Linked DNA regions of Xenopus tropicalis. The protein of the gene in region 4 purifies or fractionates together with the protein of the main gene of each other region. This does not show direct contact. Links are inferred from orthologs where the notes say so. Each region holds a gene or a part of one and is shown on either strand. Other genes may lie near its edges.

Evidence for each region.
Region 1: the proteins of cul4a (region 4) and grwd1 purify together in Homo sapiens (affinity purification with western blotting; 4 studies listed by BioGRID, with this or other methods). This does not show direct contact. The link is inferred for Xenopus tropicalis from reciprocal best matches to the Homo sapiens genes CUL4A and GRWD1.
Region 2: the proteins of cul4a (region 4) and rbbp7 purify together in Homo sapiens (affinity purification with western blotting; 4 studies listed by BioGRID). This does not show direct contact. The link is inferred for Xenopus tropicalis from reciprocal best matches to the Homo sapiens genes CUL4A and RBBP7.
Region 3: the proteins of cul4a (region 4) and dcaf11 purify together in Homo sapiens (affinity purification with mass spectrometry; 13 studies listed by BioGRID and IntAct, counting the BioPlex papers as one, with this or other methods). This does not show direct contact. The link is inferred for Xenopus tropicalis from reciprocal best matches to the Homo sapiens genes CUL4A and DCAF11.
Region 5: the proteins of cul4a (region 4) and ambra1 purify together in Homo sapiens (affinity purification with mass spectrometry; 11 studies listed by BioGRID and IntAct, with this or other methods). This does not show direct contact. The link is inferred for Xenopus tropicalis from reciprocal best matches to the Homo sapiens genes CUL4A and AMBRA1.
Region 6: the proteins of cul4a (region 4) and dtl purify together in Homo sapiens (affinity purification with western blotting; 15 studies listed by BioGRID and IntAct, with this or other methods). This does not show direct contact. The link is inferred for Xenopus tropicalis from reciprocal best matches to the Homo sapiens genes CUL4A and DTL.
Region 7: the proteins of cul4a (region 4) and wdr5 purify together in Homo sapiens (affinity purification with western blotting; 4 studies listed by BioGRID and IntAct, with this or other methods). This does not show direct contact. The link is inferred for Xenopus tropicalis from reciprocal best matches to the Homo sapiens genes CUL4A and WDR5.

Annotation. Positions count from the first base shown.
Region 1 is NC_030683.2:114,831,651-114,835,866, forward strand, and holds the start of grwd1 (glutamate-rich WD repeat-containing protein 1), read right to left. Parts: upstream 2,981-4,216; 5' UTR 2,961-2,980; coding exon 2,717-2,960; intron 2,294-2,716; coding exon 2,176-2,293; intron 1,606-2,175; coding exon 1,440-1,605; intron 610-1,439; coding exon 396-609; intron 228-395; coding exon 85-227; intron 1-84. UniProt on the Homo sapiens protein: Histone binding-protein that regulates chromatin dynamics and minichromosome maintenance (MCM) loading at replication origins, possibly by promoting chromatin openness.
Region 2 is NC_030678.2:94,690,666-94,695,034, forward strand, and holds the start of rbbp7 (histone-binding protein RBBP7), read right to left. Parts: upstream 2,973-4,369; 5' UTR 2,878-2,972; coding exon 2,862-2,877; intron 965-2,861; coding exon 820-964; intron 99-819; coding exon 1-98. UniProt on the Homo sapiens protein: Core histone-binding subunit that may target chromatin remodeling factors, histone acetyltransferases and histone deacetylases to their histone substrates in a manner that is regulated by nucleosomal DNA.
Region 3 is NC_030677.2:139,463,261-139,467,026, reverse strand, and holds part of dcaf11 (DDB1- and CUL4-associated factor 11), read left to right. Parts: intron 1-1,119; coding exon 1,120-1,177; intron 1,178-1,621; coding exon 1,622-1,807; intron 1,808-1,888; coding exon 1,889-2,042; intron 2,043-2,811; coding exon 2,812-2,964; intron 2,965-3,056; coding exon 3,057-3,163; intron 3,164-3,766. UniProt on the Homo sapiens protein: May function as a substrate receptor for CUL4-DDB1 E3 ubiquitin-protein ligase complex.
Region 4 is NC_030678.2:116,032,363-116,036,928, forward strand, and holds the start of cul4a (cullin-4A), read right to left. Parts: upstream 2,922-4,566; 5' UTR 2,903-2,921; intron 2,868-2,902; exon of another isoform or gene 2,772-2,867; intron 2,745-2,771; exon of another isoform or gene 2,637-2,744; intron 1-2,636. UniProt on the Homo sapiens protein: Core component of multiple cullin-RING-based E3 ubiquitin-protein ligase complexes which mediate the ubiquitination of target proteins. As a scaffold protein may contribute to catalysis through positioning of the substrate and the ubiquitin-conjugating enzyme.
Region 5 is NC_030680.2:13,029,240-13,033,450, forward strand, and holds the start of ambra1 (activating molecule in BECN1-regulated autophagy protein 1), read left to right. Parts: upstream 1-1,281; 5' UTR 1,282-1,518; intron 1,519-4,211. UniProt on the Homo sapiens protein: Substrate-recognition component of a DCX (DDB1-CUL4-X-box) E3 ubiquitin-protein ligase complex involved in cell cycle control and autophagy.
Region 6 is NC_030681.2:14,742,470-14,746,235, forward strand, and holds part of dtl (denticleless protein homolog), read right to left. Parts: coding exon 3,746-3,766; intron 3,633-3,745; coding exon 3,571-3,632; intron 2,901-3,570; coding exon 2,780-2,900; intron 2,633-2,779; coding exon 2,567-2,632; intron 2,327-2,566; coding exon 2,211-2,326; intron 1-2,210. UniProt on the Homo sapiens protein: Substrate-specific adapter of a DCX (DDB1-CUL4-X-box) E3 ubiquitin-protein ligase complex required for cell cycle control, DNA damage response and translesion DNA synthesis.
Region 7 is NC_030684.2:8,199,412-8,203,857, forward strand, and holds the start of wdr5 (WD repeat-containing protein 5), read right to left. Parts: upstream 2,954-4,446; 5' UTR 2,911-2,953; coding exon 2,830-2,910; intron 1,076-2,829; coding exon 967-1,075; intron 894-966; coding exon 820-893; intron 501-819; coding exon 411-500; intron 1-410.

The DNA.
Region 1 (4,216 bases), on a different chromosome or scaffold from region 4:
TCTTCAGCGAACAGGAGCACAAGGTCGCAGGTCGAAAGAAATTACAATCACTAGAATAACTATAAGACAGTGTATGTTCTTTACCGTGGCTTCTGTAGGAGACCACTGAAGATCCTCAACAGATTTAGTATGGCCCGTGAATGGTCTCTGGTCAACATGCCACGTTCCCCCTTCTCTTGGATCCCACAGATGGATGTTCTTATTGCAGTCACCAGTAACCAAGCGCCCTAAAGAGGTAGTGAAAGGGAAGTAGAAGACTAAGTGAATCAAACTATTGATGTTTAACCTTTAAAAGCAGCTCATGTACCATTAGGCATTTTTACCAAGCCTTTATAATCAATAACAACTCATGGGAATTTGAGGCTTAAACTTTGGATAACTTTGATATGGTGTACCTGCTGTTTTTGGAGACCAATCCATTGCAAACCCTTCGGTCATGTGCCCGGAGAAAGAAAACACTGGTTTGATTTTGGCTTGTTCCTCCTTCAGAAAAGCAGCGAGCACCTGAGAGTCTGACACAGCCGACAGTTGCTTCCTTAGATCATAAATATCCACTTGCCCTTTCTCTGACCAGACAGCAGCCACGGGTACTTCCCCCATTGTAGATACCTAAAAGCAGAGACAAACCAATGATAATATAACAAACAGAAGTAGTTAAAAGCTCACATTTGCTTGTATACCACATATATGGATCTACTCGTATATAAATATATATTAGATTATCACTTTTTTAACATTTTGTTTCCCTTTAATGTTGCAGAGCATTCCAGGTCTGACATTTACAAATAAAACTACTAACAACAGTATTGTATACCACAGCAGAGGTCGCAATAGGGCAGCACTTCCTAGTTTAGTGTATACAGGTATAGGATCTGCTATCAGGAAACCTGTAATCCAAAAAGCTCCAATTTGCAGGAAGGCAATCTCCCATAGACTTGTAAGCAAATTATTTACATTTTTAAAAATTATTTCCTTTTTTCCCCTGTAATAAAACAGTAGCTTGTACTTGATCCCAACTAAGATATAATTACCCCTTATTGGGGGCAGAACAGCCCTATTGGGTTTAATGGTTAAATGATTCCCTTTTCTCTGTAATAATAAAACAGTACCTGTACTTGATCCCAACTAAGATATAATTACCCCTTATTGGGGGCAGAACAGCCCTATTGGGTTTATTTCATGGTTAAATGATTCCCTTTTCTCTGTAATAATAAAACAGTACCTGTACTTGATCCCAACTAAGATATAATTACCCCTTATTGGGGGCAGAACAGCCCTATTGGGTTTATTTAATGGTTAAATGATTTACTGAGATCCAAATTACAGAAAACCTCAGGTCCTGAGCATTCTGGATAACAGGTCCCATACCTGTATATCTTTTCCTAAACATGGCAAAGTTATAAAGACAAAAACAAATATGAGAACACAACCCGACTTACGCGAATTCTATTAATGCCACCATAATGAGGCACCATAGCGAGCTCTAACTGAGGCTTCTTTTCTTCCTCGTCCTCTTCTTCGCCACTGTCACTGCTTTCAGAATCGGAATCATCTTTCTTTTCCTTGCTTGTACGGTGCAAATTGTACATTTTCATTACCAGCATCCTATAAGAAAGAGAGGAAAAAGAGTTACACTTCCTTATACAGGCTGGGTGGATTCTCAGGTACTGTAGAACTGACAGTAAGTTCTGGTGAATAAAAGATACAAAGACAAGACAACTTGACCAAAGTCAGAAGACATCAGTTCTGTTCTGCAGACCTTGGCTTGAGTAATTGCTTTACAGCTGCTAAAATGAACAGCTGCCTACTAAGTGTCAGTCAGATATTGACAGTCAGTCAGTCTGATACTGCATGAACTACAGGCCAAAGAAGTGTTGGTCAAAGGCCAGATTATAGTAAAATGACAATGTCAAAAAGCCATTTGGCAAACTGGAGCCATAAAAATCACTTGGAAGTCTAGTGGGCCCCCAGCTGGGCAGCCTTATGGGGTTCATTTCAAATGTTTGATATTATATGTTACTGCAGATATGTTATTGCATTCTTTTTTTTCCCCCAATAAATACACGACCATATATAATTGATCAATTTGTTAAACGAGGTTTTCTTCATCTACTTTTGAGACTTAGAAAATCAGATGATGCTTATGTACCCCTGTACATAATCTATTTCTAGTACCTGTTGCCTTGAGCAGAGTCGGCCTGAGTACCAGCGCAGAGGTACATAGTCAGCGGGTAATCTGTGCGATTTTCCCCCAGGGTATCACGGATGACATCAAAACTTAAACATGGTGCACCTATAACACAATAAAAAAAGAAACCATTTAATTTTCATACAAAGAAGCAAAAAACTACAAGACAACCGTGTAGTATAGTTTTGTAGTTGACATTGCTGGGGTCCCAGGTTTGATTCCAGCCAGGGCATTATCTGCATGTTCCCCCTGTGCCCCCCTCCCCCAACACATACCGGCAAGTTAAGTCATTCCTAATAACTGTAGATATAACCTATGGAAAGTGCTGTGGAACACGTTGGAATTATTTATATACTTATAAACATATATTAAAGATATCATTATAAAATGACCAGGCTGGTAAGCTTGCATGGTAACTTGCCCTTTAAAGAGCCCGGGACTGTGCGCTGAACTTCCCGCCGCTCCCCTCCCTGCCCGACCGCTCCCCTATAAGGGATCCCAACACCGGGGAGCAGAAGGGAGCGTTACCTGTCTGTGCCTGGTGATACAGTACATACGCCTCCTGGTCCATCACCAGCTCTTCTCCCTCCTTAAGAGGCTCCATCCCGGGCAAATAGACCCGCTTGGGCCCTTTGTCCTTCTCATCGTCCTCCTCTTCTTCCATAATATCACCCTCGTCATCTTCATCCTCGCTGCCCGACTCTTCCATACCTTCATCTTCCTCCTCATCCTCTGCGGGATTTCTCCATGTGGTTTCCCCAGTGCCTGACATCTTGGAATCGGGCGACGTCACTTCCTCTGGCTTCGTCTGCCATGTGTTCTAACCTACTTCCGCTGACGCCTTGCCATTACTATGGAGGCGATGTGCAGCGGTCTCTACAGAATGTAGATGTAAAAATCTACCCATAAACCCAATAATAAAATGCAACAAGACACTCCAGACGTTAGCTAATTAGTTACTTGCTATTGTTAGAACTAAACGCAGAATGGTTTGCAATTAAGGCGGCCGTTATATATTAAAGACCAGCAGCAATACTTCTTGTATATGTATGTATATCTTTATTTATAAAGCGCTACTTATGTACCCAGCGCTGTACAGTAGGTTATTCATTAATACAGACAGGAGGTTAAAGATAATGGATAAATACAAAGTACAACAATAAATACAAATAAATACAAGGTGCAGTTGCAATAAGAGTCAGAAACACAAGATGAAGGAGGTCCCTGCCCCGTAGAGCTTACAATCTATATGGGAGGGGAACTTACAGATACAAATAGGCAAATATAAGTGCTGTAGGTCACAGTGGGTGACACTACAATATAAGTGCCAGTTCCCAGATCAGGTGCTGGGTGAGTGCTCCAAAAGGGAGTCTTTAAGTTTAGTTTTAAAAAGACTGAGGGAGGATTCTCTCCGGAGGAAATCAGGGAGGGCATTCCCAATGTAAGGGGCAGCAGGGCAGAAAGGTTTAAGGCGGAAAACAGCTGTAGTAGTTGGGGGCGCAACCAAACGGTTGCTCTGCGAGGAACGAAGGAGTCGGCCAGGAACGTGCGGAGACACCAGGGAAGAGATGTAGTGAGGGGCAGAGGAATGGAGGGCTTTGAAGGTTAAGAGAAGGAGTTTGTAAACTATTCTTTGTTTAACAGGAAGCCACAATAAGGCCTTTAGCAGGGGAAGGGCCTGAACTCTCCTGGGTGAGAGGAGGAGAATTCTGGCAGCGGTGTTTAATATAGACTGTAGGGGAGAAAGATGGGAGTTAGGGAGGCTGGTTAGCAGCAGGTTACAGTAGTCAAGTTGGGATAGCCTTATGGGGGAGTGGGGTGATAATCTGTAAATCAGCAAAGGGAGTGGAGAGGTCCCCAGTGCTCCTTATGAGAGCAAAATGTAAAAATTTTATTGTGGGGGTACTGTCTATGGGGGGCACTGTGTATGGGGGTACTGTCTATGGGGGCTACTGTGTATGGGGGCTACTGTGTAAGGGGGCTAATGTGAATGGGGGCAATTGGGGGCACTTACTATGGGGGCATTGT
Region 2 (4,369 bases), about 21 Mb from region 4:
TGGGAATCTGGACACGAGCCACTACAAGGTGATTTTGTTCATCTGAAGTGTGAGTACCTAAGACCAACCAGTGCAGCGCATAGTCCTTTCCTTCTGGTCTATATAAAAAAAACAAAAAAAAACAAAACAGGAATATATCTCCTTTTCATTTGACAAGTCTGCTTATTTTGTAGCAAATTTAGTACTGGAATTAAGATATAAGTATTGTGGTACGGATACTGTTCACTTAATAAATATGTGCAAATGTAATTTGCTTCTTGTTGCGCTTTGTATACAGTATACACAGTACACATAGACAAGATGAAAAATGTTAATACAATTAAGCCCCTAAAAATTTAATGTTAGATATTTGGCCCACTTTGCTGAAAATAAGCACTGATCTAGAAAATAAAATTTAAAGGCAGCGGCAATCTGTTAAGTATGATATAGATTTTTTAATCTTAGATACTACCCACAGCTCCTTAGGTAATTTAATAATGTTGAAATCCAAAAAAATAGGAAAAAAGCTTCAGCAGGATAAAGGGTATTGACCCGAAACATGTCGTGTTACCACAACCCAAAATAACTGGTTTGCAGTAAACCTGCTGAAGTTTTTTTCCTATTTTTTGCATTTCTACAATTGTATTTGGTTGCAGCACAGAGCAACAACTAGGAACTAAAGTTTTTTTTCACAAGTATTTTATACAAAGTTCATCAATCATTTTTTATTTTCAATTTACTTATGTTGTATTTAAAATGCAATAGGTGTTAACCATGCTTTAAATATCATGTAAAACAACTAAAATTTGCTATTAAATGAATTTAAAAATAAAAAATCACCTAGTCACATCCGGGAGCCACTGAACTGTTAGACTTGGCCATTCAAGTGCATGGGTCATAACCAGGTCATACAGAAATGGGGTATTTTTTTTCCATATCTTATACTCTTCATTGATGACACGTTCTTCCACTGTATCTTCAAACACTAGAGAGAAAAAAAAATTATAAAATGTTTCAGAATAGAATGCATTACTGTTTGAATTCAGTAAAAACCATTAAATTGCTTAGTCAGGTCAAACAGACGTACAAAAACTTGGCTGTTAACAAACCTCTCAGCACTGATTGCTTGTAAACATTTACATGCTGCATAAGGTGTGCATGTATAACTAGGCAGCCAATGTATTGTTGTTGAACCAGAGTTGCTTCAATGTAAACATCAGATAATTTATTAAGTAAACTTAATCCAACATCATTTGAGTGACATATTTTCCCCACTGTGCTCTACCAGAAATAAGAACTACACAGCATAGTATAGTAAGTTGGGTTGAAAAAAGACATACGTCCATCACGTTCAACCATAATGCCTATATATAACCTGCCAAACTACTAGCTGATCCAGAGGAAGGCAAAAAAACCCCATCTGAAGCCTCTCTGAATACACAGACGGAACAGCTACACCAAGTGGAGTAGGTGGCACCGGTGATTAACTAGCATGGTTGGAAGAAAGCAGCATTGGTTTGCTGGGCAGACCCAGATCTATAGGATGCACCATAACATCAGTCAGTGCCCATATAGCCAGTGTCCAGCAAGACACACCGCAAGTTCATTATCCCTTTAACAAAAAGATAAAGTGATTATTGGAACACTTATCACAACATTCATCAGTATCAGCTGGCATTTATCTACCTGTACTGTAACCATAGGAGAACCCTGTACAGGTATGGGATCTATTATTATTAACACTTATTTATAAAGCGCCAACATATTCTGCAGCACTGTACAATAAGTGGGTTTCATACATTGGACATACAGAGTAACATATAAAGCAATAAATAACCAATACAAGAGGTGAAGAGAGCATAATAATAATATAATTATTCCTTATTGGATGCAAGACAATCCTATTGGGATTATTTAATATTTTACTGATTGTTTTAGTAGACAAAGTATGGAGATCCAAAATACTTAAAGATCCTTTATCCAGAATACCCTTGGTACCAAGCATTTTGGATAACTGTACTGTGTTCTCTATTTTGAGATGCTGATCATCTGACACTAGCCCAAGCCCTGTGCATGTTTAACAGTTATGGGCCCTCAAGGAAGAGCCACAGCACCTCAAAAACCTATCTGCCTGCTTATGAGGCACACTTGCCCCTGTAGGCGCAGAAACTTCTACAACTTCAGGCACAAGGAACACATTTCTAATGATTCCATACAAAAAAAAAACTTGCCCGATACCTTACTCATTAGTAAATCACTCAAAAGAACAGGAGGATTTAATGTAAGGAAATGTTTAAAGATGGAATAGGTGTGTGCAGCCTGTGAAGAATTCTACCAGTTTCACCAGACACCAGACAAGCGTATCTGATGCCGTCTGGCCTGTCAGACCAAAGTTACACATGCCATACATTTATTGTGGTGCAAGTAAGAAAGCTCTGGTTCTGTTTCCCAAGAAAGATCAGTCCAACTTTACACAAGGCAATACCTACATTTCTAAATGTGTTTTAACTTAAAATTCTCATCACTTTGTCGATCCCCCATCTTACATTTTTTAATACTGCCTGGCAACTGGCTTGTAGTGGAACTAAATGTAGCGACTTACAGTGCCAAACTATAAACTCCCTCTTCTAATTGAGGGCCCAGAGCCTTACAGGCCAGCAATAGGGACCGTAGCCAGCAAGCCTACGCGGTAGGATAAGGCCTAAGAGAATCCGGTATGCCTCCCATACACACCACAAGCGGTGCAGTAAACAAAGCGGCCACAGCTTCTTAATATAAAACTGTGTCATAATCGGTAGCACCCGGATAGCATGCCTGCATCCCCAGTACCGTCCCTTTAGAAACCCAAAACGTGCTCATAAAGCAGCTTTCTGCCCACTTACTCTCTTTATTCGCCATCTTCTCTACTCCTGTGCAGATGCAAGGGCCGCCGGCCTCGCGGTGACTAAAAACCCAGTGTTCCGCGCTTGTGCCGGTCCTGCTGCAGCTTCCCGCGCCAAACACTCACAAGAAGAAGAAAGACTACCAGTGACGCAGCATCAACATCCCCCGCCAAAGTTACAGACAGGCACGCCGCCGCCGTCGCCTTCGCTTACGCAAGGGCTAGCGCCAAACGCTAGGACAAGGCTGACCAATCAGAGGAAAATAACCTGGTTACGTAAAAGGAGGCGGGGAGGCCGAAAGTTTCGCGGCCATGTTTAATTTTGGCATGGCGTAAAGTAGTAGCGTGTTTTTTTTTCCTAATGTGCGGAGTGAATTGTAATAATTTTAGGTAGTTATTCTGTAGGAAGTATGAACCTATTATACCGATAACATTTGTTTTAAGTAGGAACCTTCCCGTTCTCAAGCAGTGGAGCAGCATTCATTAGGGAAATGTAGAAGATAGAGTTTTCAAAAGCTTGAGCCGAAGGGATGCGGGAGCTTCGTGATCGTTAGAATTGCTATCTTCCACTATCAGAACGAAATGTATTCAGTGCCGCAGACCTCGGGGTTTAACAGCTTAGCCTACAAAATTGGCAGTGGATAGGGTTGCGATTAATAGGAAAGAGGAAAACTCAATTGGTGTTGTGTTCTGGAAAACGTAGATATAGCAGGATAGCCTGGATGGGCTAGGGTGCAAATCTCTTCTGGAAGTAAAAGCCCACCTTCGTAATGCTTGTTTTAAATGTCATTTTTTACTGGTTTGCTACCCTAAGCATACCTCCCAACATTTGAAAAATGAAAAGAGGGACAAAAAGACTTGGAGGCAATTTTGACCCCGCCCATTTTTGTTGCCACGCCCCAATTACCACACCCCATTTTAAAAAGAAATACTCCTTTTATATAGATGAAATGGTGGGATCAGACGCAAATGTGCTATACCCTCATACTGTACTACCTAAGGAAAACAATATAGCAACTCCAACATTAAAATACAAATATAGAGAGAAGGCAATCAGTTATAAGTGAGTTATAACTATGTAGCAGTTTTGCTTCCCCATACACAGGTGTCCCCCGTACACAGTAGCTCCCTCATACACAGTCCCTCCATACACAGTAGCCCCCCATAAACAGTGCCCCCTATACACAGTAGCCCCCCCATACACAGTAACCCCCCATAAAGAGTGCCCCCGTACACAGCAGCCCCCCATACACAGCAGCCCCCCCATACACAGTACCCCCCCATACACAGTGCCCCCTATACACAGTAGCCCCCCCATACACAGTGCCCCCTATACATAGTAGCCCCCCATACACAGTACCCCATAGGCGCTCTGTCTTCGTCTACGACTTCTCTCCTTATGCGGCGGTGCCAGGCCCTTTTATAAGGTTGCACCCCGTGCGTAATGACATCACACGTACGCACGGTGCGCAACCTTATAAAAGGGCCTGTCGCGCTGTGTCAGGAGCC
Region 3 (3,766 bases), on a different chromosome or scaffold from region 4:
ATCATATACAATATAATGTAATTGGGAGTGTGTAATTGAAATTGTTGGTAGTTACGTCATGAAACCAGCTTATAAATGAATGCATTACTTAATGAATGTGTAATTGAAATAAAAAGTCTTTGCAGTAGATACTCTGTGATGATGTCCAACATCCCCATTACAGCAAACCAACCACCGCTGTACAGACCTCACTTTTTGCATGGGGACATTATTGTGTTGAAACAGGGCCAAAAGGGCCTTCCCAGACTATTGCCACAAAGTAGGAAGCACAGACTTGTCAAGGTATTTTCTGCTTAAACACAGTTGGCATTACACATTCTGGCAGGTAGCATTCTCTTGACATCTGCCAGACCCAGCTATCAGTCAACCAGATGGTAAAGGTTAAGCCTCGCTCCAGAAAACACATTTCCACTTCTCCAGAATTTAAGGAAGGCACCATTTTATTCTATCTCAGCTGCTGCTTGGCATTACACATGGTGGAGTCATGCTTGTGTACAAATGCTTGCCCAAAAATCTCTCATGCTCATCACTATTAGTTTTTGTAGCTTCCATAGACATTTTGGAACTTGGCAGAGCCTGTTCCAGTTGAAGATATATTATTTTTAAAAAAGCATATCTGGATATACATGTATAAATGCGTTGCTTGATATGTGGGGTTGAGTGTTGTATTTGTTAGAGATGTAACAGCATTTCAGTATATAGTGCTCATTTTCCCTTTTGGTGTATGGGAAGTTGTCATTAGATGCACTGCTAAAAGGGTGGCAACTATACATTAACAGGACAAATTACTTGTGCTGAGTGCATGTAACCTTTAAATACCTTATCCCCACTTTTGGTACAGGTGATTAAAAAGAAAAAAAGCTTTAAAAAAAGGGAATCAAAATGTTTAAGAGAATCCTAAATAATTTAAGACAAGGGTCATTACAGGTGCAGTTATTCCATCAGCAGCCACATGTCATGCAATCTGCTAAATTCTGTCCTGCAACCAAATCTCCCTGTTGCTTCAGAAATGTCATATGTATGGCCAGCTTAATGTGCATTCTGTGTTTCGGGTGGTACCTTATAACAGACTTGGCATAGTGATCTATCATGTACAAGCTTCTTTAACTGTTTTCACAGGGCCAATGATAGATGTGTTTATGTGTACGACCGTGAGCAGAATGTTCGAACGCTCAAGGTATAGTTTTTTGGGGGTTTTATCTATTTGAGCCCTCTTCCTAATGCTTCCATTTATTTATTTATTTTAGTTTCATGCTTCCATCATGACCATCCAGTCTCTCTGTTCCTCCTCTCTTTTCTCTTATGACTTTTTATATATTATCTATATCAGGTCTAAGTCATTAGAATACAGTGGCTGAAAAGGTTTGGCTGTTGTAACGTAAAATATAAAGACCATAAACTATAAAGGGCCCACTCTGAAACGTATCCATTAGTATAGCGGGTTAGTGATGATATGCCACTCGTCGTATCCTTTTATTGTGTTTATTTTACCTTTATGCATACAGCCACTCAATAACCTCTATATATTGTTACTCTTATTACCTTTTCTGTTTTTTCATCTATGCTGACTCAAGCTCTCTTAATTTAAAATCTTCCATGTCTCACTCTTCAATCTGTTTAGATTGTTTCCCATGAGGACGATGTGAATGCTGTCTCCTTTGCTGATGACAGTTGCCATATAGTCTACTCAGGGGGCGATGATGCGTTATGTAAAGTGTGGGACCGCCGAACCATGCGAGAAGATGATCCCAAACCAGTGGGGATATTAGCTGGACATCAAGATGGCATCACTTTCATACATAGCAAGGTAAGCTCTATTCTGGCTGTCATAGCCTTTTTTCCACACATCATACATTTTGTTTTGTAATAAACCACTGTTTTTCTTCAGGGGGATGCTCGTTACTTACTATCCAACTCAAAAGATCAGAGTATAAAGCTTTGGGATATCAGGAGATTTTCAGGGCCAGAAGGACTTGAGGCCTCACGAAGGGCAGTTACTCAGCAGAACTGGGACTACCGCTGGCAGCAGGTTCCCAAGAGAGGTGAAAACTTGTTCTAACCAAGATGCTTGGATATTAAAGATATGTATACTACAGATGCTACTGACATGCACTTGCCAATAACAGAAGGCACAGGGTGCAGTGGGTGTTTCTCTGTTGTCTCTGTTTGACAAGGGCTTTAGGGTTTTTTTATATATTGTTATTGGCCCATTAAGAAGCCCTACTCTGTGTATTAGGGCAGTGGCACATGGGGAGATTAGTCGCCCACGATAAATCTTCACAGTTGTGGGTGACTAATCTCCCCGACATGCCATCCCACCAGCGACAATGTATATCGCCGGTTGAATGGTACACACAACTTCCTTGCTAGGCAACTTTGGGCGACCGAAGTAATGCGTATACCATCCCACCCGCAATTTACATTCTTGTCGGTGGGATGGTATGTCAGGAAGATTAGTTGCCCGCAATAGTGAAGATTTATCGTGAGCGGCTAATCTCCCTATGTGCCACTGCCCTTAAACTGATACTATTTTTTATGCCACCAGATACAGGCAGCACATCCTACAAATGTTATTTCTTTTTAATGAATTCCTTCCTTTGCTTTACAAAGCCAGAGTAAAGGTGGCCTGTAGCAGTTTGCCTGTAGCAGTTGTGCTGGAATCTAAACACAGTTGCCCTCCAGTTACGTGCAGTGTATTAGCAGCCACAGGGCATTAGTGTGGGGTATTTTCCCATAGAGTCCCCTCAGTAGAAAATATTGCTCAATTCTGGTTTTCTGTTACATAACTTTTTGAGGTATGTTTTTTTCTAGCTCTCAGGAAGAAACGTTTGCCAGGAGACACTTCCCTAATGACATACCGGGGGCATGGTGTCCTACATACACTGATTCGTTGTCGCTTCTCTCCTGCATACACCACTGGCCAGCAGTTTGTGTACAGTGGCTGTTCCACAGGTCGAGTTGTAGGTGAGTGCAAGGATTTAAATAATGCACATGATTTGCAACTGTTTTATGTATGATGCAACTTGAAATGTGTTTTTTTTTTTTCTCTTTCTCAGTTTATGATTTGTTAACGGGTCAGATAGTGAAGAAACTGACAAATCACAAAGCATGCGTGAGAGATGTTAGCTGGCATCCATGTGAGAACAAGCTTGTCAGCAGCTCTGTGAGTAACATAGGGAAGATAATGGGAGATATAAACTTTACATTAGGTTTATTAAAGCTTAGATGTATAGCAAAAGAGAGACTTCCTCTGATTAATCCTGTATACTATCTGCCTGATTGTTAAGAACACTGCCCTTAATTGTTAATAGTTTAATGCTGACTATGTTATAAACTTGATGTGAAACCTGGGGTTATACCCAATGACTTACGGATACAGATGCAAGTCCCGACTCTTGCACATTACAATCAGTGCCCCTAAACTGGAATCTAAATCTCTAGTACACCAGAACTTGCTAGTGACTTCAGAAGAAATCCAAATATGGTATTACCACTGTGCAAATCTAAGTATTACATCCCATTTTAACCACAGACAGTTGGTTTGCCTGGAATTGGACTACATTTTTTTTGCTGGTTATAAACCTTGGAAGCTTCACCATTTTGCGCTTCTTTAAGTCTAATATAGAGTGGAAGACATTTGAGCTTCTTGAACTTTCAAAGCTTTAAACAGAAGACAAATTGCCCCAACTAGTATTCTATAAATACCTGCAGCAAATGGTCAGGGCAGATGCAGGTTTTCAGGGAGGACACTTTAAGTCAACACTTT
Region 4 (4,566 bases):
ACTATCTTTCTAACACAGCTAACTAATCTCTATTTAGGGGTGCAAATAAGTAAATCTATGTTTCTGGTTACACCTTTAACTTTTTGTATGCTATAGAATGTCCTTTTCTAAGAAAGTTTTTAGTTACAATTTACATTTTTTTAGATTAGTCACCCACGACAAGGAAGATATGTCGCACGGCGACTAATCTCCCCATGTGTCACAGAACTATAATAAAGATGCTGATCTTCATGCCAACACACTTTACTGCTCCAATATGCCTGTCCTCCCATCCACTCCACTTAATGTGTCCCTTTTCACAGCTGTACAAAAACAAAAGGTAATAACTACATTACTATAAGGAAGCCTACAAAAAGCTCCAAATCTACATCTAATCTCTATGTAATGGAAAAAGAGGAGCACAGCCTTAAAAATGATTTCAATGCCTGAGTGCCAGTAATGCTTAGTTCACAGCACTCTGCAGGTTTTTTCAACAACACTAATAAGTGTATTTATCAATGGGAAAAGTACATTATTTGATAAATACGCTTCTAAAAATCCCAAAAGTAATGAATGGAAAGTGGGTGAATTTTTCTGTGGTAAACTTCTAATTTCACATTTTGATAAATCTGCCCCTAAAGTGTGTTTATTGGTTCAAAGACCTGATGCTTGTTATTAACTATATCCACTGTCCCTTGAGAAGTATCTATAATTACAGGAGATATTAAAGACCACCATCACAGTTAAAGGATGTGCTATGTGCTGCTCCCCTGCTGCTGTTCAACATTAAAGGACAAGGAAAGACAAAGTCACTTGGGGGTGCCAAAATGTTAGACACCCCCAAGTGACTTTAATCGCTTACCTTGTACCCCGGGCTGGTGCCCCTGTTAGGAGAAAACAGCATCAGCCCGGGGTACGTGGAGTGATGCGCTTCCTCCTTCCTGCTACTTTTAGCTGCGACTATGCGGTAGGCGCATGCGCGGTAGAGTGAAAAGTCGACTTCTTTGTTAAAGTTCAGCTTTTTCACTCTTCTGTGCATGTGCGCGCAAGCGATCAGGAAGGAGGAAGCGATGCAGCTACCCCGGGCTGGTGCTATTCTCTCCCAACAGGGGCACCAGACCGGGGTAAAAGGTAGGCGATTAAAGTCACTTGGAGGTGCCTAACATTTTGGCACCCCTAAGTGACTTTGCCTTTCCATGTCCTTTAAGACTAATGGCACAGAGGTGTTTGATCATTGGTGCCCTCAGAATAGCTGCAGTCCAATGGTCCATCCCCTCCTGGCAGAACTGAATGTAAAGCTGGCCATACACACACAGATGATATTGTACGAAACCTCATTCGATGCATGTATGGTGGATCAACGAAACGACCGATGGTCGCAGGAAAGTTTAGAATTGCTACGTGTATGGCTCCATTCTGAATGTACATAAAACGGTGACAGACCTTGCAGCCTGCCAGAAGACTCAGGAGAAAGTAATAGGACATAGGGCATTTTCGCCACTGTTACTCTCTGAAGGAGAACAGTCACAGTCAAAATACCCATCTCCACCTGTCACTGCTCTTAATCTCAAGCACCCTGTTTAACATACACATAGCAGATATAGGCGCTTCTGCTCTTAACTGTTTTGGTGCACTGGTCTGCCTGTCACTACTCTGTGCCCATCAACCATGGCACTTCTGCTGAAACTATCTAGCAGAAACCAGCGGATTAAAGCTAATAAAAAAAAACATAGTTCTAAGCAACCAATATGAATTTATTAAAATGTTTTTGGTGCTTTAAAAGTTATTTGTAAGTACAACTGAAGGCAGAATTTGCTTAACTGGTGGCTATGCCTTTTAAAAACAATGCTGAAAAGCCAGTCTCCTTCAGCAAGACAGGTCTGTCTATCTGCTGGATTATGTTATATTGTTTCAAAAGCCACAGCCACCTGGGCAGTGAATAGAAAAGGACAATAGCAATAATATCTACAAATAACTTAAAAACCATTACAAATTTGTTATGAATGCATATTACAAGGTTGCTTAGAATTATGTTTTATTTTATTAGGCAACATTTATTTTGGGTTGACATGTCTTTTAATAGACTTAGAAAACTGACCTGCTACACTGGCTCAGGAGTCAATATCAGCCAACAGAAAGAGACACACAGATATTGCATTAAATAGCACATACATTTAAAACAACTTGAAATGTTAATGTAAACTGGAAAGTATATTTTACATGGCATTATTAGGGAAAAAAACAATTTATATGAGGATATCCCCATTAAAACGAGCAGAGGTGCCTCAGGTTGGACAGATCCCATGACTTCCTTCTTTAGGTGATCACCTAGCCCTCAACGCCAAAGCCAAGTACTGCTGCACAAGTGATCAACAATGTGAGGCTTTTCAGAAACTGTTAAATTTCAGAGGTCAGCGGCCATTAAAGGCACCAAGGTCCTGCAACTACGAATGCTAGCGCTTACAGAGTTGTTAAACACAAATAAACACATAGAGACGGCTGGGGCAGCCGCCTGGGGCCCATAGATGTAGCAGGGAGGGGGGCAAGGCCGGCCCAATCACCCACAATTACAATCAAAATAGCAGCTAGTAATGTTACACAACATATCCCCCAGGACTCTTTAGCTGCCGCTGATTTTCTTTGCAGCAATGACTTACAAACAAACGCTCGACTTCCGGAAAAGGAGCAGTTTAAAGGTGATCCCGAAGTCTTAAAAAAAACATATTGAGTGCAAATGTGATGTCACAGCCACGTGACCAAGAAGTGGAAAAGAGAACATGATGTCACGAAGGGGCGTGTCTAGCTGCGGTTTACATCAAGGACCCGCCCACTATGAAACAACCTGAGAAAGCTGCTGTCAGAATGGAAATTGAGAGATATGCCACAGAGTGAGTGAAATGTTAACATACATTTATGAGGTTACCTGTGTAATTAAAATGGCGTTCCATATAGCGGCTGGAACTATCACCGGCATTAGCCGCTGATAATATGTACAGTCACTTCCGGGTCAGGGGGCACAATAGCCGGTTTCCGGGGGAGTTAAGCGAGAGTAATTTTGTCTTTGCAGGAGCACAATTGTGTAGGAAAGCGAAATGCAATTTTCTTACTTAATTTGTTGTTAAGATATGAATGTTTTGCTTTTATTTTCAGGGTAAGTACATGACACCATCTCTGGGCAGGTTGTATTGCGCGCTTGAATGGAAACTCACGTGTTTCTTGGTCAGTGTTTAATGCTTTAGGCTTTAGGACAGTAGTCTTCACAGTAAGGATGAAGTTCTGCAAAGGGGATGACCAGTCCAAAACTGTCATTTTGTGTAATGTGAGAAAATGTAATCCTACACAACTTTCCAATACATTTAAATTGAAAAAAAAGTTTTTTTAAATAATTGTTATCGAAATATGTATTTGCTACTCCTTTCTATTCTTTACACTCACTTCTGGTTTAAACTTTTGAGTTTGTATTAGGACTACCACTCTACAGAAAATTCCAATTTCACAAAAAAAAGTTACTACTATGGTCTTAGTCTGGACTCTTCCCCAATTCTCTCCCTAATCCTAGAGTGCTGGCATTCATTACATTAAAATTCATTGCCGACACATTTTGCTCATGGCAATGCATATAGTATTTATGCAACCTTTTTAACAGTTGATACATTCCATCTTATTCTTCTTAGTCTTCTTAGAAATGAAGCAACAAATGTAGCAAATTGTAACACTGTAGAGAGCCTGCATCTTGATTTTGAGGCACTACAGTAAAATACTATATAAAAAGATTTACATTTAAAATTAAAGGGGTGGTTCAGTTTTGAATTGAGTTTGGTTTTAGCAGCTATCTGGTTTCTAGAGTCCAAATTACCTTAGCAACCAGGGAGTGGTTTGAATGAGAGGCTGGTATATGAATAGGAGAGGACCTATTCAGTAATAATAACAAAATTGTAATCTCACAGGGCAATAGTTTTCTGAAAGCTACAAAAGGTTAGAAGAAAACCGCAAATAATTAAAAAAAAACCTATAAATATTGAAGACAAATTGAAAGGTTGCTTAGAATTGGCCATTCAATAACATACTAAAAGTTACCTTAAAGGTTAACCACCCCTTTAAATCTTACAAAAAGTTAAACAATCTAATTGTTGACGATGTGCGTGAAAACAAATTAATGGAAAAACGGTTTCTAAGGCAAACTACCCTTTTTAAACAGTAGTATAGAATTTTTTCTCAGTGTTTGATGCTGTCACTTTTAACTCATTGTAGTTGTAATATTCTGATTGAACACCCTTTTGTCAAACTACAGTGTGTCTGTATTAACTGGAAACAGTGTAAATGTTAACCCAGTTAAAAAAAATAAAATAAATAATTGTTGGAAGATGATGCTTATCCTACAAGACTGGATTTAGCACACTTGGACCCTGTACTAGTTGCTTGCCCGATGAAAAGTGTTAAGAACAGGGCTGGCCTGCACCAGTCCAAAGTACTTTCTGCATAAGCACTAAGACATTTATGTAAAACACAAGGCCCGGGGGCCAAATCCGGCCCACCTGGCTGTTTTATGTGGCCCTTGGTGAGTGTCTGACCATCCAGCCTGATCAA
Region 5 (4,211 bases), on a different chromosome or scaffold from region 4:
TACAATGCCCATACTAAACCCAAACATACAGCCCCCGCACCCTTCCCATATTATACCCAAAGACTACAGCCCCATACACTGCTCATATTGTAAGCTCTTTTGGGCAGGGCTCTCTTCACCTCTTGTATCGGTTATTGGTTGCTTTATATGTTACTCTGTATGTCCCATGTATGAAACCCACTTATTGTACAGCGCTGCGGGATATGTTGGCGCTTTATAAATAAATGTTAATAATAATAATACTATTATACCCAGTCGTAAGGCCCATACATACAAACTACCCATTCGGGACAAACACATATCTAGCTGTAAAGTTTGGGCACACTGCCCATATTATACCCATACATGACTGCCCATATTATACCCATACACTGCCCATAATATACCCATACACTGCCCATATTATACCCATACACTGCCCATATTATACCCATACACTGCCCATAATATACCCATACACTGCCCATAATATACCCATACACTGCCCATAGGAGATCTAAATATACAGCCACAACACACTGCCTATATTGTCCCCAAAATAAAGCACCCCCCCACAGCCCAAAAACACACTCCCCATATTATTTTAAGACACCAAAACCCCACTGACCCTTTATTAGCGCCCCTCTTGGTAGCGCCATGGGTGAGCTGAGGGCACAGACTCTTCCTATACTCATGGTTACAGTTACTTTCTCTCCATGGAAGTCCTTGTCAACTTCACTATCTGAAAAAATATTTCAAAACACTTGATTTTCCCTTGAATCTTTACAAATATATCAGTACATGCTGATCATGTGATCAAACCTCATGGGTCAGAGCTTCTCACCCCTCCCCTCCCTGTATTTGGTAGCTCTCCTATCCCTTCTGTGTATGTATTTCAGACAAACTGCTACTTGTACCCAAGGTGCGCCCCGTCCATGATTTATTTATAACAATAAAGTGTTTAATATACTCGTTAAGCCTACGGGACGAATAGTATCATGGGACAGATTGCACCTTTATTATAACATTAACCCCCGATCTCTTACAATCAGTACAAATAATATCCCGGCTGGACCCCCCGCCCGGCCTGTTCCCCGCTAGTTCCGCCGCTGGCCGGTTGCTAGGAGATTGTCTCTCACCAGCGGAACGCACAATTACCTCTTCCTTCTCCTGACAGCTCTCTCGGCGCTCGGCTAGTTAGCCTTCTCCATGCCCCGCCCTCTGATTGGCTGACTTTTGTTCCTTGTTGGACGCCCAATCGATGCGCTCAGAAGGGATCCGTTTTTGTTTTCGGTGGTCGCTTGCTTCGGTCTGGCGGCCGCCATTGCCCGGTTCGCTGCTATACTCTGGCTTCGTCCCACCGGATTATCTTTCATTTATTTCCTTCGTAGCCCTCGGCCGTGCTTGTTCAGTCCGGGGCACGGTAGTTTTTCTCACACTCTGGGACCCAGACGCGGCCCTGACAGGCCTCATTCCCACATACGGGCTGGAGCTCAGGCCTTATCCGCCCGAGAGGCGATTGCCCAGCTGGCTTTATAGGTGCGTATTTAGCCCGGGCTCATGTAGCTCTGGGCACAGGGGAGGGAACAGGTGGCATCAGCGCCATGTTACCCACAAGCAACTATATGTCTCTTTATATATATATATATATATATGTGTGTGTGTGTGGCTCTCATATGGGAGCCTTTCTCTGCCTTCATAATATTGTGTATACATTGCTATACTGTACTTATATTATTATTACTACTACATAGGAATTCAGCATTAACCTAAAGTATGTGTGTAATGTGTCTGCTACATTCTAATACTTAGCTTTGTGAATATATAATACACACAGACCATACCCTGGAACCTATATACTTATTATTATTAATTATATTATTATTATTATTATTAATTATATATATAAAGCGCCAACATATTCCGCAGCGCTGTACAATAAGTGGGTTCATACATTGGACATACAGAGTAACATATAAAGCAATCAATAACCGATACAGGAGGGGAAGAGAGCCCTGCCCAAAAGAGCTTACAATCTACAAGGAGTGACATATAAAGCAACCAATAACTGATACAAGAGGTGAAGAGAGGTGATGTGTAACTGGGGATTTAAGATGTAATTTGTATTCTATGATTTTAGAAGTAAGGGTATAATGTACCCCCTACTGTAAATAATAAGGATATTAGAAGCTACTGAGGGGTTCTGTGCCCATATAAAGGCACAAGGCTGCAGGCTGAGTTATACAGGGAACTCTGAGTATCACTCATGTATTATAAGGGATAATGTACCCCCTACTGTAAATGATAAGGATATTAGCAGTCACTGAGGGGTTCTGTGCCCATATAAAGGCATAAGGCTGCAGGCTGAGTTATACAGGGAACTCTGAGTATCACTCATGTATTATAAGGGATAATGTACCCCCTACTGTAAATGATAAGGATATTAGCAGTCACTGAGGGGTTCTGTGCCCATATAAAGGCACAAGGCTGCAGGCTGAGTTATACAGGGAACTCTGAGTATCACTCATGTATTATAAGGGATAATGTACCCCCTACTGTAAATGATAAGGATATTAGCAGTCACTGAGGGGTTCTGTGCCCATATAAAGGCACAAGGCTGCAGGCTGAGTTATACAGGGAACTCTGAGTATCACTCATGTATTATAAGGGATAATGTACCCCCTACTGTAAATGATAAGGATATTAGCAGTCACTGAGGGGTTCTGTGCCCATATAAAGGCACAAGGCTGCAGGCTGAGTTATACAGGGAACTCTGAGTATCACTCATGTATTATAAGGGATAATGTACCCCCTACTGTAAATGATAAGGATATTAGCAGTCACTGAGGGGTTCTGTGCCCATATAAAGGCACAAGGCTGCAGGCTGAGTTATACAGGTAAGGGAAAAGGGGAGAATGGTTATTCTCTATATGTAACATCTTTATAAACATACAAATATGAATGTGTATAATTTAGGGGTGCACCGAATCTGGGATTCAGGGTTCGGACGAATCCTAAAATAGTGGATTTGGTGCATCCCTAGTATATTTTCATTAAAATACGATCCTTTGCGTCCATATAGGGCTACATACAGACGGGCACTTATTAATGCCTTTAATGTATATAAATGGGTCCATTGCATTAGTCATAGATGTGTTATTTAAACAGCACTTGCCCCTGAGCCCCTTTTCCCCCATATTAAAAATAATCCCACCCATGTTGGGTGCTTGTGCTTGAATCCAACCCACCTTGAAGCCATAAGCTGTTAGTATTGGGACCTTACATATTGTGTAGGATGAGCTATCTCCCTATTAAAGTTATCGTAGGTGATCGTTCAAGTGTAGGTATGGGACCTATTATCTGTAATGCTCGGGACCTGGGGATTTCTGCAAAAGGGACCTTTCCATAATTTGCCTCTCCATACCTTAAGTCTAGTAAGTCATTTAAATGTTAATCCCAACAGGATTGCTTTGCCTCCAATAAGGATTCATTATATCTTAGTTAGGATTAAGTACAAGGTCTTATTATTACAAAGGAAAAGGAAATCATTTTTAAAGACTAGAATTATTGAATTAAAATGGAGTCTATGGGAGATGGCCTTCCCGTAATTCAGAGCTTTCTGGATAATGGATCCTATACCTGTATTAAAAAGAATTCATTGGAACCCAACTCCAAGCAGCATGGATCCTGAAGTACAGTTACAAAAAACTGACTGTATGCTAAAATATATAGCTATCAATATATAGAAATAATAGCCAGAGGGGCCATAGTGTCATCTTACTATGGAAAATATTTTCTTTGTGACACTGGGCAGCATGGGTAATAGTAGAAGTTGCAGTGATGTCTCATTTGCCGGAAAATCACAGCCAAGGTAATGCTCACTTGAACCCCATTTTGGTACCCAAACCCCTTGGGTTTACCTATGCCTTCCTGGTATTCCTCTTACAGCTTATTATAAAAAAAAAGCATGCTATAATTGATGCAATATCCAGGGCACAATTGCCTAAGCATCCATGATTATTTTTGGGGGACATTTGTACTTTTACCTTATACAAAAGTAAACCCAATCAGCTGCCAGGAGCTTGGATACACAGTCTTGGTTATTATAAGAAGACTTTTGACCAACTCTCAAAGCGACTTTTAAAAAATAAATATACATATACTAGCAAGAAATGACAAGACTTCCATCACTCCTTTGTTAGTGTATTTGCTCTCAGTGTAAAGGTGCCCAT
Region 6 (3,766 bases), on a different chromosome or scaffold from region 4:
AGAACCACCATTGGACGTAATAGACCTGTGCTGCTAGGAAGTAAAATTGCCAATGTGGGAGACCTAGACCGCCTTCCGTGATTGGTGCTCTAAGTTTGGCTCTGGAGAATCTGGGAGGTTTGTTGGCCCACAGAAAGGCAGTCTGTGCTTTATCTTGAGAGGCAAAAAATTTGGGTGGAATGGAAATAGGTGAGTTGTGGAAAATATAGAGAAATTTAGGAAGGAATATCATTTTTAACAGATTGATTCTACCCCAGATGGATAAGGGGAGATTGGCCCACACCAGCAGCTTCTCTTTCATGGCTTTAAGGATGGGGTCTAAGTTGTTGGGGATGAAGTCGCTCAGCTCTTTTCTTATTTGGATACCCAGGTATTTAAATGTGTCAACCCACTGCAAGGGAGTAGGAGGGAAGATATTTGGATCAATATTTGAGTCTATGGGGAATACGCTGGATTTTTCCCAATTGATTCGCAGGCCGGAGAAGTGCCCAAAGTTTTGGACTATGCCTAGGACTGTCTGTAGTGAGGCACCAGGGGAGTCCAAATACAGTAAAACATCATCAGCATATAAAGATACGCGTTCCTCCACAGCCCCCAGTTTGAGACCTGTTATGGCTGCAGAGTGTCGGATCAGAATGGCAAGGGGCTCTATTGCTAGGGCAAATAGGAGGGGCGACAGTGGGCAACCTTGCCGGGTACCTCTAGCTAGAGAGAACTCTGGGGATAGGTGTCTATTTACCATAACCTTTGCTGTTGGTGCTTCATATAGCATTCCCACCCATTTAACAAACTGCTCACCCAGGCCAAACCTCTCAAGGAGTTTCAGGAGATAAGGCCATTCGACGGAGTCGAAGGCTTTGGCTGCGTCAAGTGAGACTACTACACGGGAACCTTTGTTGGTGTGGTCGGCATGGATATTAGTGAACAGCCTACAGATGTTTATATTGGTGGATCTGTTTGGCATAAAGCCTGTTTGGTCAGGCTCAATTAGTTCCTCAACTACTAGTTTCAGTCTGTTAGAGAGGATTTTTGCAAAGAATCCAATGGGTCCTTACCATCTTTGGGGATGACCACAATAAGGGCCGTGTTAAAGGAGCGAGGTAGTTTATTATTTTCTGTTGCGTCAAGCAAAGTTTTGTGGAGCCAGGGGGAGATAAGTTCTGCAGATGTCTTATACCAGTCAGCAGGGAATCCATCTGGGCCTGGTGTTTTATTGGGTTGAAGCGAGGTTATTGCCTCCTGTACCTCCACTAGTGTGATGGGACTGTTGAGTTGGGCCCTAAGTAGTGGGGATAATCGGGGGATGGGGATGGTATCCATGTAGTTTGATAGCTGCAGTGGGGTATAGTTGGCTTCAGTGGTGTAAAGCTGTTTGTAGTATTGTGCAAAGATATTAGTTATGTGGGATACCTCAGTAATTATGTCCTCATTCATGGATGTGATCTTAGTGATGGTGTTCGAAGGGGCTTGGGCTAGCATTTGTTATTTTAATCTTTCTTTAACAAGCCGTCATTGAAGCAAAAGGTGTCTGTACAGAATAAAGCAGGGGTTTCAATAGTACTATACACAATAGTTTGTTTTTGGTTAGTAAAATCTTTAGAAAAACAATCTCACACTAAACTGAACTATATTATATATATATATATTTTAACACTTAAGTGGCATAATTACATACAATCCAGCATGGAAGCAGCTAAAGGCAAATTCACTGCCAACCTTGGTCTCCTGGGGACACTTCAGTAGAGTGCTGCCCCACCACACTATATTACCAGTGTTTTGCTGTGCTACAATATTTCGCTAAACTGGCCAGGGCAAGCAAATAGTTATGATTATGGGTGTGTGGCACTCTACTGATAGTTCTCCCTTGCCAGATTTACTGTGGACTGGAGGGGATGGGGCTTTTGGAATACCTTCCAAATCTAACCCCCCATAACTTTAACTGTCATTTTACCCTATTCTATTAAACTTTGCTTAGTACAGGGTTACAGAACTACATATTAGCTAATGTTATTGCCTTATTATCAGTCCTAAGTATCGGAGCTGTACAACTTCTCTAATCCATTTACAGATGATTTCTTTGGATTGTACTTTTAAGAGCTGAATATCCCTGTTTAGGATACCCACTTGAGTATATGTCAAGTGACCTATATAGCTCCCATGCATGTCAGTATACTGGTGCTTGTAATGGACTTAATGAGATGATGTATTACCACTGAAGGAGCGAGACCTCTGACGTAAGGCTTCCTTTTCTTCACCTTGGAAGGGGTCTGCTTGTCAAGGGCATTATGTGCACCAGTGATCTGGTTCACTTGCCTGTAAAAACCATCTTGGAAAAACAAAAACAAAAAAACACTCCAATGTTAACCCAGTTTCTGTATTTCAAGCATAGTAAGCCTGCATTCACATTCATAAGCATTTTCCCAGTTGTAAACTGAAGCTTAGTTTAAGGCACTGAGCAATTCCAAGTGTTGTTATGCATTGGAATTAATAGGCAAGGAAATATATTTCGCACAAACTCCCACAGATTTATAGTATGCTATATAAGAGATACAGATTTTAAACATACCTTTCTTATTGCATCTAGTGTCCCACACCATGATGTTTCCATCTCTTCCTCCAGTACTGAAAACAGCTAGAAGAAAATAACAGAGCATGTAACAATCAAGGCAATGGGATTGGGTGACCTTACACCCTAAAGAGAATACAATATCAACAGTGGTACAAAGACAGTGGTTTCAATACAAACACTGGTAAAGCAGAAAGAAAAGTGGTACATTACCTTTCTCAAATTTTGAGAAGGCAACAGACTTCAGGCTGCACTGGTGTCCTTTACACTCTCCAATCAGATCCCCAGCCTTCACGTCCCACAGCTTTGCAGTTTGGTCCCCTGAAGCTGTAACCTAAACATGAGGGAGGGTGAGGATATTAGAGAATTGCTATTACTGTTCCTGTTATGCATGCTCTATACAAACAGCCCAGGAAGAGTAGGGCTGGTAATTGCATAACATACTGCACAGAATGTACCGCCCACTGCATGTGTGTGAGATTGCAATAAATTGCACTGTGATTTGCAGTTAAACACAGCTTTATTTAGCCAATATAGTTTTAAGAGTCTACCTTCAATCGAAGATCAATTGCAAATTGCCTTTTCATCATGCTAAAAGTTAACAACCCCTTCTTTGTCAACATATATTTTTCAACATATGTTTGGCTACAATCCTTATCATTCTGAGGCCTCCTTGGCGATGAGGAATAGAACTGCCCACTTTCAAACTAAGCAGGTGAAAATGCCCAACATCTTAGCTTTGGACACATGAGAAAGACAGTAGATCTTTAGATATTCTGCGTTATACATCTTTTGGGCCCTTTAATGATACTTTACAGAAGGAACAAAAATCCACAAATATACAGCACCAGAAATAATGCAGGCACAAAGTCTACCAGCTCTAATCTAGCAGATTTATATTTAAGAGTTATCAGTAACCATGCAAAGCAGCCAGTTATGAAAAAGACCAAGTGTAATTAGACAAAACAAATGGCAGACATGGGGAGAGATGCAGTTCAACTTACTAGCTTGTGTTCCCCAGGCACCCAGGCAATGTCAAAAACAGCATTAGTGTGCGCCATGAATTCTAGGAATGATAAATGGAACATTAAGTATTAATTAACAATGAATACATGAACTATTACATGCACCATTGGGCACAATATTATAGGGCTGATTGTGCAGAAGCAGAGTTCTTACCTTTCACAACAAGCCTTTGTA
Region 7 (4,446 bases), on a different chromosome or scaffold from region 4:
GTAATATGGACTCACCTTCAATAAGGAAGATTTATATACACACCGTTAAATCCTTTTCTCTATAGTCGTTAGGGGGACACAGGAAGAGTGGGGTAAAGGGCTCCTCCTACCAGGAGGCAGGACACTGCAGTGATGTCATAACTGTTGCTCCTCCCTCTTTTCTTTAACCCTTTTGCTTAGCCAACAGGGCTCAGCTTTTTAAGTGGACAGGAGGTTAGGCCTAGCCTCTAGAGAGGCTCTGCCTACTACCAAGGCCACGTTTGCCCACTGGATTAACGAGGCAATTAGGCTGTTCCTGTGTCCCCCATGATGTAAGAGAAATAGGGAATGTATCCTGTGTTATCATTTTACCCCTCAATGAAGAAACACAAAAACATATTCTTCCCAACGGTAAGTCAATCAGGCCTCACCGAGCTCACGTCCCAGATTTTTAGAGTTTTATCGTCAGAAGCAGAAACCAGGAGGTTGGAGTCAGAGGACCAGGCGACATCAGATATTCCCTGAATATAAAAATAAAAAGAATAAATAAATAAAAGTTTCACTAATCGGATTTGATTAAGGGGGTTTATATTTCTTAACCAGTGCCAAATTAAAACACATGAAATCCCCAAGCCCGTCTATAAATTAGGGAGGCCCCTGGGGAGGTGTCTGGCAAATGCAAACTCTAATTGGCTTCTGCTGCACGGCGCTGGGGGGATAAGGTGCAAAACAGTATGGGTTTAATGTTACACGAAGCAGACGCTGGTGGAATTTAAATATATGGTGCTACAGGAATTCAACACCGGCTAGACGCGAGCAATAACAACAAAAGGTTCTTACCAACTTGTGGCCGGATATGGTTTTTTCAAACTTGCCGTCGTACGCCCCCCATATTTTGATTAACTTGTCGGCCGCTGAAAAGAACAAAAAAGTGACACTGTAGTTTCTTTAGGGCAAAGACATAACGATAGGTGGAATGTCACTTACATGAACTGGCGAGCCACTCCCCGTTCGGGCTGAATTTTACAGATGATACGGCCTTGGTGTGTCCGGCGAGGGTGAACTTTAGCGTGTAATTTGGCTTTACTGGTGCAGGCTATGAATAGAAGAGAAAAATGGGGATTTCAGAAATGTATTTTGCAGACATTGAGGCAGAGAGTTGGGGGAAACAATAGTTTTAAAATAAAAAACAGCCCCCTACAGTGACAGGGAGCCCCCAGGGCAGGCAGCCATGTTGTATGTAACCGCTGCACAAACCTGAAATTTGTCACATTCAGCACCCACCCCCTATATTTCATCTCTCTACAAACATCAGAGCCGCGTATTGGAAAGTACCCAAAAGTTGGTTGAGTCGAACGTATTCATGAGAAACCAGAAACAATTCAACTTAAATTCATAAAACTCCCAACCCTGGGTGAGGATCTACTGCCATATTTCAGTATATGAATGAGGAATGAATGGATATTGGGGAGTTGTATCAGGAGTCAGAACCAGCAGTGCAGAGAAGGGAAAGGGACAGACACAGTGACAGTTACACATAACTATAAACCCAGTGAGAATGAGGGATGAATGGATATTGGGGAGTTGTATCAGGAGTCAGAACCAGCAGTGCAGGGAAGGGAAAGGGACAGACACAGTGACAGTTACACATAACTATAAACCCCAGTGAGAATGAGGAATGAATGGATATTGGGGAGTTGTATCAGGAGTCAGAACCAGCAGTGCAGGGAAGGGAAAGGGACAGACACAGTGACAGTTACACATAACTATAAACCCAGTGAGAATGAGGGATGAATGGGTATTGGGGAGTTGTATCAGGAGTCAGAACCAGCAGTGCAGGGAAGGGAAAGGGACAGACACAGTGACAGTTACACATAACTATAAACCCAGTGAGAATGAGGAATGAATGGATATTGGGGAGTTGTATCAGGAGTCAGAACCAGCAGTGCAGAGAAGGGAAAGGGACAGACACAGTGACAGTTACACATAACTATTAAACCCAGTGAGAATGAGGGATGAATGGATATTGGGGAGTTGTATCAGGAGTCAGAACCAGCAGTGCAGAGAAGGGAAAGGGACAGACACAGTGACAGTTACACATAACTATAAACCCAGTGAGAATGAGGGATGAATGGATATTGGGGAGTTGTATCAGGAGTCAGAACCAGCAGTGCAGGGAAGGGAAAGGGACAGACACAGTGACAGTTACACATAACTATAAACCCAGTGAGAATGAGGAATGAATGGATATTGGGGAGTTGTATCAGGAGTCAGAACCAGCAGTGCAGGGAAGGGAAAGGGACAGACACAGTGACAGTTACACATAACTATAAACCCAGTGAGAATGAGGAATGAATGGGTATTGGGGAGTTGTATCAGGAGTCAGAACCAGCAGTGCAGGGAAGGGAAAGGGACAGACACAGTGACAGTTACACATAACTATAAACCCAGTGAGAATGGGGAATGAATGGATATTGGGAAGTTGCTTGAAAATACATTTTCTTTAGTCAATATTTTATCTTGGGTTGACATCCCCTTTAACTTTTAGTATGTTACAGAATGGCCAATTCTTGGGACCTCTTACTAAAAGTTAATTTTCTAAGATGTATATTTAAGTAGGAAAAGAATATGTAACCCTTTGGATCCTATAACCCTACTACACTACCCACCTATAAGAGGCCCTTTATATTAAGGGTATATTTAAAAAGCCAGAGGCGGATATATTTCCCCTTTAACATTACCCTTTATAAGCAGGATTAATGATCCATAACTGCTGGATTTCACACAAAAGTAACACCCAAAGCCTTACTGGAAGCATCTTGGCCGCTCCACATGTAGAAGAATACCAACCTTGCTCTGATTATTGGACGAGGATGGGGTGGATTGCGTCTTGGAAGCTTCAGTTTCGGGTTTCTTTTCTTCTGTTGCCATGGTGCAAGAACTGGAATGGGGCCCCTTGAGTTAGCAGATGGCCACTCCCACTATGCAGGCTAGGTGTTTGTAAACAAAGAAAAGGACATAATTAGCAATATTTATTACTTATTTACTACTATTTGTACCAGAAGCCTTTCCAGAATAATGTATTTATATGTGGTATGGGGTTCTCCTATTGTGCACGTGTGAGCATTGTGTAACAGTACAGGCAGTAGTGGGGCTGTAGATTTTTTGGGGAAACATTGTGGCCAATAGGGAGACCTTTCTGAGGGGGCGTGGCTGTTTGGGATATAATGGTATGGGGGGCTATTGGTGTGGCTGTGGGGTTAAAAAAAGAGGATATATAAAGGTATGGGGGCTATTGGTCTGGCTGTGGGGGTATAAAAGAGTATCTATATTGGTATGGGGGCTATCCGTGGGGGTATGAGGGAGGATATATCATGGTATGGGGGCTATTGGGGTAGCTGGGGGTATGAGAGAGAATATAAAGGAAAGGTATGGGGGCTATTGGGGTAGCTGAGGGTATGAGAGAGGATGTAAAGGAAAGGTATGGGGGGTATTGGGGTAGCTGTGGGTGTATGAGAGAGCATATATAAAGGTATGGGGGGGTATGGGGGTAACTGGGGGTATGAGAGAGGATATAAAGGAAAGGTATTGGGGCTATTGGGGTAGCTGAGGGTATGAGAGATGATATAAAGGAAAGGTATGGGGGGTATTGGGGTAGCTGAGGGTATGAGAGAGGATATAAAGGAAAGGTATTGGGGCTATTGGGGTAGCTGTGGGTGTATGAGAGAGGAGATATAAAGGTTATGGGGGCTATTGGGGTATCTGTGGGAGTATGAGAGAGGCTATATAAAGGTATGGGGGCTATTGGGGTATCTGTGGGGGTATGAGAGAGGCTATATAAAGGTATGGCGGCTATTGGGGTATCTGTAGGGGTATGAGAGAGGAGATATAAAGGTATGGGGGCTATTGGGGTAGCTGGGGGGTATGAGAGGGGATGTAAAGGAAAGGTATGGGGGCTATTGGGGTAGCTGTGGGTGTATGAGAGAGATATAAAGGTATGGGGGCTATTGGGGTAGCTGAGGATATGAGAGAGGATATATAAAGGTATGGGGGTAACTGGGGTGTTTGAGAAAGGATATAAAGGAAGGTATGGGGGCTATTGGGGTAGCTGGGGGCATGAGAGAGGATATATAGGAAAGGTATGGGGGCTATTGGGGTAGCTGGGGGCATGAGAGAGGCTATATAAAGGTAAGGGGGGTACTGGGGTATCTGTGGGGGTATGAGAGAGAGATATAAAGGTATGGGGGGGTATTGGGGTATCTGTGGGGGTATGAGAGAGGAGATATAAAGGTATGGGGGGGTATTGGGGTATCTGTGGGGGGTATGAGAGAGGAGATATAAAGGTATGGGGGGGTATTGGGGTATCTGTGGGGGTATGAGAGAGGAGCTATATGGAATGGGGGGGTATCTGTGGGGGTATGAGAGAGGAGCTATATGGAATGGGGGGGTATCTGTGGGGGTATGAGA